2 linked regions of the Danio rerio genome follow. Each later gene encodes a partner of the first gene's protein in a complex. Links are inferred from orthologs where the notes say so. Each region holds a gene or a part of one and is shown on either strand. Other genes may lie near its edges.

Region 1 (4,458 bases):
CAAGGACACAGTAAATTGATCAAATGTGATTAAAGTTTGAGACATTTCTAAATGAAACAAAAGATTTTGTTTTTAAATAAAAATGTTTTTACTATTCACTAGAGAGTCCTGAAATGTAAAATCCATCATGGTTTCCACAAAAATATAAAGACTAGTAATAATAACAATTATTAATGATTGAGCACCAATAATAATTTATCTTAACAAAGCAGCAAATCAGCATCTTAGAATAATTTCCTAAGAATAATTTCACATAGCCATTCTTGAAAATCCAGCATTGAATCAGAGAAATAAATCACATTATCAAATACAGTATAATAGAAAAAAAGTTATCTAAATTTGAAATAATATTTCACGATAGTACTGTTCACCAAATAAATGCAGTCATGCTAAGTTTTTAATTTTAAAACATTAACCAATCCAAATGTTCTCAAATGTTTGACTAGTACTATATATAAATGCATAATTTTGGTATCTATTTAGTAACAACGTGTTAAAGTACAATATTGTGTATGGTACAGTATTTTATGCTACATTTAAAAGAAAAACGCACAATGTAAATGATGAATGTATCTACATTTACTGACTCTAACAAAATACGGTAATAAAATAGCATACAACTCAGCTTTTTTTTAAAAAAAAACATAAAAGGTATACATCTATATATTTATCCATACATAACAAATGTGCAGTCTCTTACCCAAGAGTGATGTAATAATTGCCCCGGAGCAGGACGCCATCATCTGCTGGAAGGGTGTAATGTCCCCCGGGGGACCTGGAGAACTTTCCTGACAGCTCATCTCAAAGCCTGCGATCGAGAGGGAAAAAAACAGATGAATCTGCATTCACAAACTTCATTAACCTCAGTCTTCAATGAGTGACAGCCAAAACTAAACCTTGCCTTGATCATGTATAATCAGCCCTTATTGCATTGACAGTTTCCAGTGTATCATTACAACTGACAACTGCTGAGATTTAAAAAATGATGTAAATAGCATACGCTATGTAACCCCGAAAGAAAAAAAGCAATGTCATCAATGCTATCCAAAAAAAAATTACGAATTCACGTGAATCGTCATGACTTTCACGCTTATTCACCAGTGTGCGCCATTGCGCTTACCAAATATGCCATGTGTTTATCCAACTGTGTGTTTCGCACTGGCAGATTCGTTACTTCCGGATATTTAAATTTTGCCGTTGAACTAAACAGACGTTCGTCGACATGAAAGCGCATCGAAGTTATAGTTTGCATATTTCATAGTAGTTTTAAAATAAACATTCTACATAAAATTCAGAGTATTTATACAAGTGTAGTTAACGGTAAACATTAACATTTTGAGGTGAAGTTTTTTTAAAAACGTCAAAACATATTCGTCGAATCTCTCTTCACGAACGTCAAGATTACTCAGGTTTTGTGGGAGTGGAGAGAAGTCCCCTCGAGCGGGAAAATGGAAACAGCCTGCGTTGAGTGTTTGTTATGTTGATATTTACAAACAGCGGATGCATTTAATGCAGTGTTGTGTTTTTGTGTTGTCTTTTAATCAACCAACACTTCGAAGTAATGTTGCTGCATGTTGGCGGTTTAAAAAGCAGGTTTAGCCGAGTTTAGGGCTGTAACCGTTACAACCAAAATCTCCATTATGAAACACGACTCTTTCTCCAGGTTTAAGGACCGAGGTGCTGTGAAGCTCTTTAAACTTATTGTTGACTAATGATATGTGTCGTTCTGATTATTTTGTAACAATAGTCTCTCATAATAATGATGTTTTGAGAAACGTGCATGCTGTTGTTTATTGCGTAACGTAACTTATCGATGTGCGTGTTTTGAACTTCGGCTTTTAACCGTTCAGTTGTGATGTTCATCTTCACAGACCCCAAGCTGGAAGGACACAACTGTGCATCATCTAAAAGCAGAATTAAATCAACATGTGATCTTCAGAACAAGCCATTTAAAGGCAGAATATTTTACTTGGATCTTCCTTGGAATATGAAAACCCAGCTGCTGGAAAATGACATCAAGACACTTGGTGGTGTAAGTGCTCATAATTGTTATTTTCACATCCAGGATAATTATTTGTAGACAATTGTTTATTAGTTTATCAACAAACGTAGATCAGCCATGCATTGTAATATATATGCAAATATGCTCCTCTTAATATTAGACAACGCTTATTCTGTCCTATACTTTTAATAAGTCATCATTCAGTATGGATGTTTCCCAGTACTGGGTTGCAGCTGGAAGGCCAAGTGCTGCATAAAACATATGATGAATAAGTTGGTGGTTCATTCTGCTTTGGTGACCCCAGATTAATAAAGGGACTAAGCCAAAAAGAAAATGAATTTATCATTCAGTTTTATTGTGACTTGAATTTGTACAATTTTGGCAAAGTTTTTTTGCTTGTTTAAATTTATAATTACAATTAATTAGTAATATTTGCCTCCACTTGGTGATTCTTGTTTAAATTTATAATAATAATAATAATAATAATACATGTTTAATCTTGCCTATTTAAAAAATATTTTGAAATCTGTTTATTTAAAACAGTGCACGTCTTAATAATTAATTATGGCTTATATTATTTTTGTGTGTGTCTGTCTGTGTGTGTGTGTGTGTGTGTGTGTGTGTGTGTGTGTGTGTGTGTGTGTGTGTGTGTGTGTGTGTGTGTGTGTTTTTTTTTGTATTTTTCTGTAGTTCTGTTCTATGTTGTCTGTCTTAACCAGGACTTCCTGGTAGAAGAGATATTGTATCTCAATGAGACTTTGATTAAATAAATAAAATAATGTATGAAACTTATTGTACAGGGTGTCTGCAGGGTTTTAAAAAGTATAACAAGTTGATAAATCAATGCAAAGAAATTAAAGGCCCTAAAAAGTATTTAAAAAAATATTTAAATGCTATTTTTAAGATATTTAATTTAATATAATTTTTGATTATCCAATGTATGGTTGTATACTTAAGTTGGGCTAAAACAAATCTGTGAATATCAGGATGCTGTGTAGTTAATAAAATCAATAAAATCCTGCTATATTTGACATAAATGCTGCTTTGTTTACTGCGGCAACCAAATAAAGACCATTATTTCTTGAGTTCTATAGGCGCCAACCTGCTGAATTAGCTAGATTTATTTGATTTTTATTCAGTATTTAAATAATGTTTTAGTTTTGGATTAGTTTCTTTTGTTAATATTTAGTAAATATTCTGTAAGTTAAAATCTCACAAGTGCTTCCGGTTGATACCTAAAGTGTTTATAATATATGGAAGGAGTCTTTAAAAGGTCTTAAAAGGTGTTGAATTTAACTCTCTGATTTCTGTTTACTCTGTTGTAACACTGAAAAACATTTAACTCGTTGCCTCCTGCAAATAATGGTTAAATCAAATTATAGACTCCTTGATATTGTACTTGTTAATTGAAATAATAAATATAAATAATAAAAAAATGTATATTTTTTGTTTAAGTTAAATAATATAATAACACAGTAATATACATCAAATAGGCATGGGCCGGTATAAGATTATGGCGGTATGATAACCTTGGATAAAAATATCACAGTTTCACTGTATTGTGATTACTGCTCTAAAATGTTATTTTTAAATGTCTGTGTAAAAAACCTTTTTCCCCCTTTAAACACAATAAATTTTATTTTGAGAAACATTTAAAACAGTTTGCAACAGTAAACATTTTAGGCTGAGTAATTAAAATGAATCTTTGACTTCTGCTGTTTTCATTTATTTAAAAACAGATTTCATATCTTTTCTGCTGGAGATGCTGTTGTCCTAAAAAAAAGTTTAATAAACAAATCTTACATAAAACATAGGAACAGTATAGCAGAATAATTTGGCGGTTTTAAAACCTTGACTTTTCAAAACCGCGGTATACCTTGAAAACGGTTATACCATGCCTAAAATCAAATAATAGACTCTTTAATATTGTACTTGTTACTTCTACTTTAAACCACACTACAGTTTCTGCTTTATTTAAACAGATGTTTTGTCTGAGAACTGATGAGTAGGCCCATATGGAATCTATGCGCGCAGACTTTTAGCCCATCATTGAGTCTACTTATTTACTTGTGTAAATATGTGTAAATTTTAATCTATTCAGTTTTTAAATTAATTTCCGTAATAATATTGACAAATGAAAGTGTTTCTTTGATTTATTCAAAATACAATTTGTTCAGTAATATTTTCTGTCTTTTAGTAAAGATATTATATGATAGTCTTGCTTTGTTTACTGAATAAGTGGATCAAGATGGTTTTGCGTTGAAAATTTTTAATAAAAGTTAAAGTTTATATATATATATATCTATATATCTATATATACATATATATATTTATATATATATATATATATATATATATATATATATATATATATATATATATATATATATATATATATATATATATATATATATATATATATATCTTAAGTTTTTAGTTATACAAAATGATTTTAC
Region 2 (2,573 bases), on another chromosome or scaffold:
GCCCAATACTTGTGCTAGATGGGCGCATCACTGCCAAGGACTAACGAAACATTCTATCTAGAGCAGTGTTTCTCAACTGGTGGGTTGTGACCCAAAAGTGGGTCCCGCGACCCACTTTTGGGTCACGACATTTTCAGTGGGTCGCAGAGTGTGTGGTCAAAATTTTTTGTAGTTTAATTTTTTACTTATTTTGCTTATAACGGACTTTTATTTTGAAATGCGTGCGCGACAACCCTACCGTTTGACATGTGAAATTTCATTTAATTATTGCAACAAATATGTTGAAGCGCAAGTACGACCCCAAATATGTAAAGTATGGATATATATATTGACGACAAAAAAGACTTAAAGCCTCAGTGTCATATGTAGTGAGGTGCTCTCATAAGAGAGCATGCAACCTTCTATGTTAAAACAACACTCAGAAACCAGAAAACATGTTTTATTAAGAGTTTATTATTTACAGTATTTGTCGTTTTTACTTTGTAATATTTCTATAATTTGCACCATTTTGTTAAATGACAGCAATAAAATATAGTTTATTTGTAAGTCTTGGTGAATTTCTTATGATCTATCGGTCACTGCTTGTTTATGTTAACAAACAAATACAAATTAAGTATAATTCCTAAAATTGTATTATAGCTCCAAAAAATTTGGGTCGCGGCTTAATGACCATGTAAAAAATGTGGGTCTCATGGCCAAACCAGTTGAGAACCCCTGATTTAGAGGACCACAAGCACCCGATGGTTAAAAAATTGTATCATATATATTATGAGTAATTAATATATTTTTTGCTAAATATTGAACACATGAAACAGTCTGTCACTTTCCAAAATATTCACAATTTATTTTATCTACAAAATACTTGAACACTGAATATTTGAGTAAACCATCCAATTAGGAAACCCTCTAAAGTTGAACAACGGACAATTCAAACTTTATTATCAAAATGAAACTCTCCAAAATATAAAAATAAATACATCACTGTACAACATGTTGTTAGCAAATAAACACATTCAAAAAACACTTTACAGAATAACTCAAAATCGTGGATGCGCACAATCACTACTCACTCATATCTTTGAAGAGTGGATGCTGCAGTGCCGTCGAGGCTGTGATCCTGGTAGCGGGGTTTAAATCTAACAGTTTATCGAGTAGATCGTACACCTCATCCGGCACTCTGTCCCAGCCGATCTCCTTCAGCTCTGCACTGCTTCTACACAAACGGGAGCCTGTGCTTTTCAGTGCAGGACTCTCCGCTTCCTCCTTTTCTTCTGCTGGATTATGTGAGGCTTGAAACTCAGCAGGAAGAGAGGCATCATCCCACGATCGCAAACCTCTCAGAGTCTCGCAGAGAATCCTGAGGTCCAGCCGAGGAAGCTCACGGCTGCACACTATGGATTTACCTGCAATCAGACACACATCGAGTCAGCAGGACATACGAGAATACAACATCATCCAGACTCTTAAGATAATGACTTACCAAAGGTCTTTGCAGCCTCTATAGTCTCTTTAGACCCTCGGATGGTCATGATCTGAGTAAGAGCGATCAGATCGTCATTGGCTTTGAAGAAAGGATATCTGCCACTTAGTAGAGACAACAGTATGACCCCTGCTGACCACATGTCAATCGCTGCAAAGAGATGGGCTTTTATTAGTCATTATACAATACATGGTTCATATTTTTGCAAAAATAAACTTCAACCACCGACTTTTCACAGCCTCATCTTTGGGTAGTAACACTAACTTCCCCTCACACTTCAGAGGACAGCGTCTACACGACTTGATTCAAGCGGGATTTGCTACAGTGTTTGGCATCACGCAGACACTGCTAAAGACTCGTTACAGTGGTGATTCATTTGAACCATTATGAGTCGACTGTATATTTCACTTCACTTAGAGCTGTTACACACTACATGGAAGGTCATTTTCAAAAACCCATAATAGACAAGGCAAGGCAAGGCAAACTTTATTTATAGAGCACAATTTAACACAACCGTAGTTGATCCAAAGTGCTTTACAATAAAATAAACTAGACAATAAAACTAAAAATAACTGGTATTAAAAATACAATAAAATATATTTAAAAGTAATACTAAAATATAAATAATACAAAAATAACATGCAAGCATCAGTCAAAGGCAAGAGAGTAAAAATGTGTCTTTAAGTTAGATTTAAAAGCATCCAAAGAAGGAGAGATTCTGATATTCAGAGGGAGACTATTCCAGAGCCTTGGGGCCGCAACACTGAAAGCACGATCACTCTTTGACTTGCAGCGAGACCGAGGGACAGACAAAAAAAACTGATCATGTGATCTTAAGAATCTGCGAGCTGTATATGGCCTAATAAGCTCGCTGACATAGGCCGGGGCAGAATTGTGCAAAGCTTTATAAGTGAAAAGAAGAATTTTAAAATCAACCCTGTATTTTATAGGTAGCCAGTGCAATGAGGCAAGGACAGGGGAGATATGCTCTCTTTTCCTAGTTCCTGTTATTAATCTGGCGGCTGCATTTTGGACCAACTGTAGCCGAGAGAGTGTTGACTGAGGTAGGCCAATATACAAAGAATTGCAGTAG

What was found.
Region 2: the proteins of dbf4 (region 1) and cdc7 are in contact, whole or in part, in a crystal structure (PDB 6YA8), measured with the Homo sapiens proteins. The link is inferred for Danio rerio from reciprocal best matches to the Homo sapiens genes DBF4 and CDC7. Residues at the interface, in NP_006707.1 of Homo sapiens: Thr210, Arg211, Thr212, Gly213, Arg214, Leu215, Lys217, Pro218, Phe219, Val220, Lys221, Val222, Glu223, Asp224, Met225, Ser226, Gln227, Leu228, Tyr229, Arg230, Pro231, Phe232, Tyr233, Leu234, Leu236, Met239, Pro240, Ile242, Asn243, Tyr244; in NP_001127891.1 of Homo sapiens: Asn56, Val57, Phe58, Ala77, Gln78, Leu79, Gln80, Ile87, Ile93, Pro94, Thr95, Ser96, His97, Pro98, Ile99, Arg100, Ile101, Ala102, Leu105, Gln106, Thr109, Lys121, Tyr122, Cys123, Phe124, Arg125, Asn127, Asp128, Val130, Leu143.

Annotation. Positions count from the first base shown.
Region 1 is NC_133191.1:47,573,773-47,578,230, forward strand, and holds the start of dbf4 (protein DBF4 homolog A), read left to right. Parts: upstream 1-1,388; 5' UTR 1,389-1,640; coding exon 1,641-1,677; intron 1,678-1,871; coding exon 1,872-2,032; intron 2,033-4,458. Other genes in the region: mitochondrial glutathione transporter SLC25A40, read right to left, coding at 701-800. UniProt on the Homo sapiens protein: Regulatory subunit for CDC7 which activates its kinase activity thereby playing a central role in DNA replication and cell proliferation. Required for progression of S phase.
Region 2 is NC_133177.1:11,288,124-11,290,696, forward strand, and holds the end of cdc7 (cell division cycle 7-related protein kinase), read right to left. Parts: intron 1,631-2,573; coding exon 1,481-1,630; intron 1,404-1,480; coding exon 1,063-1,403; 3' UTR 824-1,062; downstream 1-823. UniProt on the Homo sapiens protein: Kinase involved in initiation of DNA replication. Phosphorylates critical substrates that regulate the G1/S phase transition and initiation of DNA replication, such as MCM proteins and CLASPIN.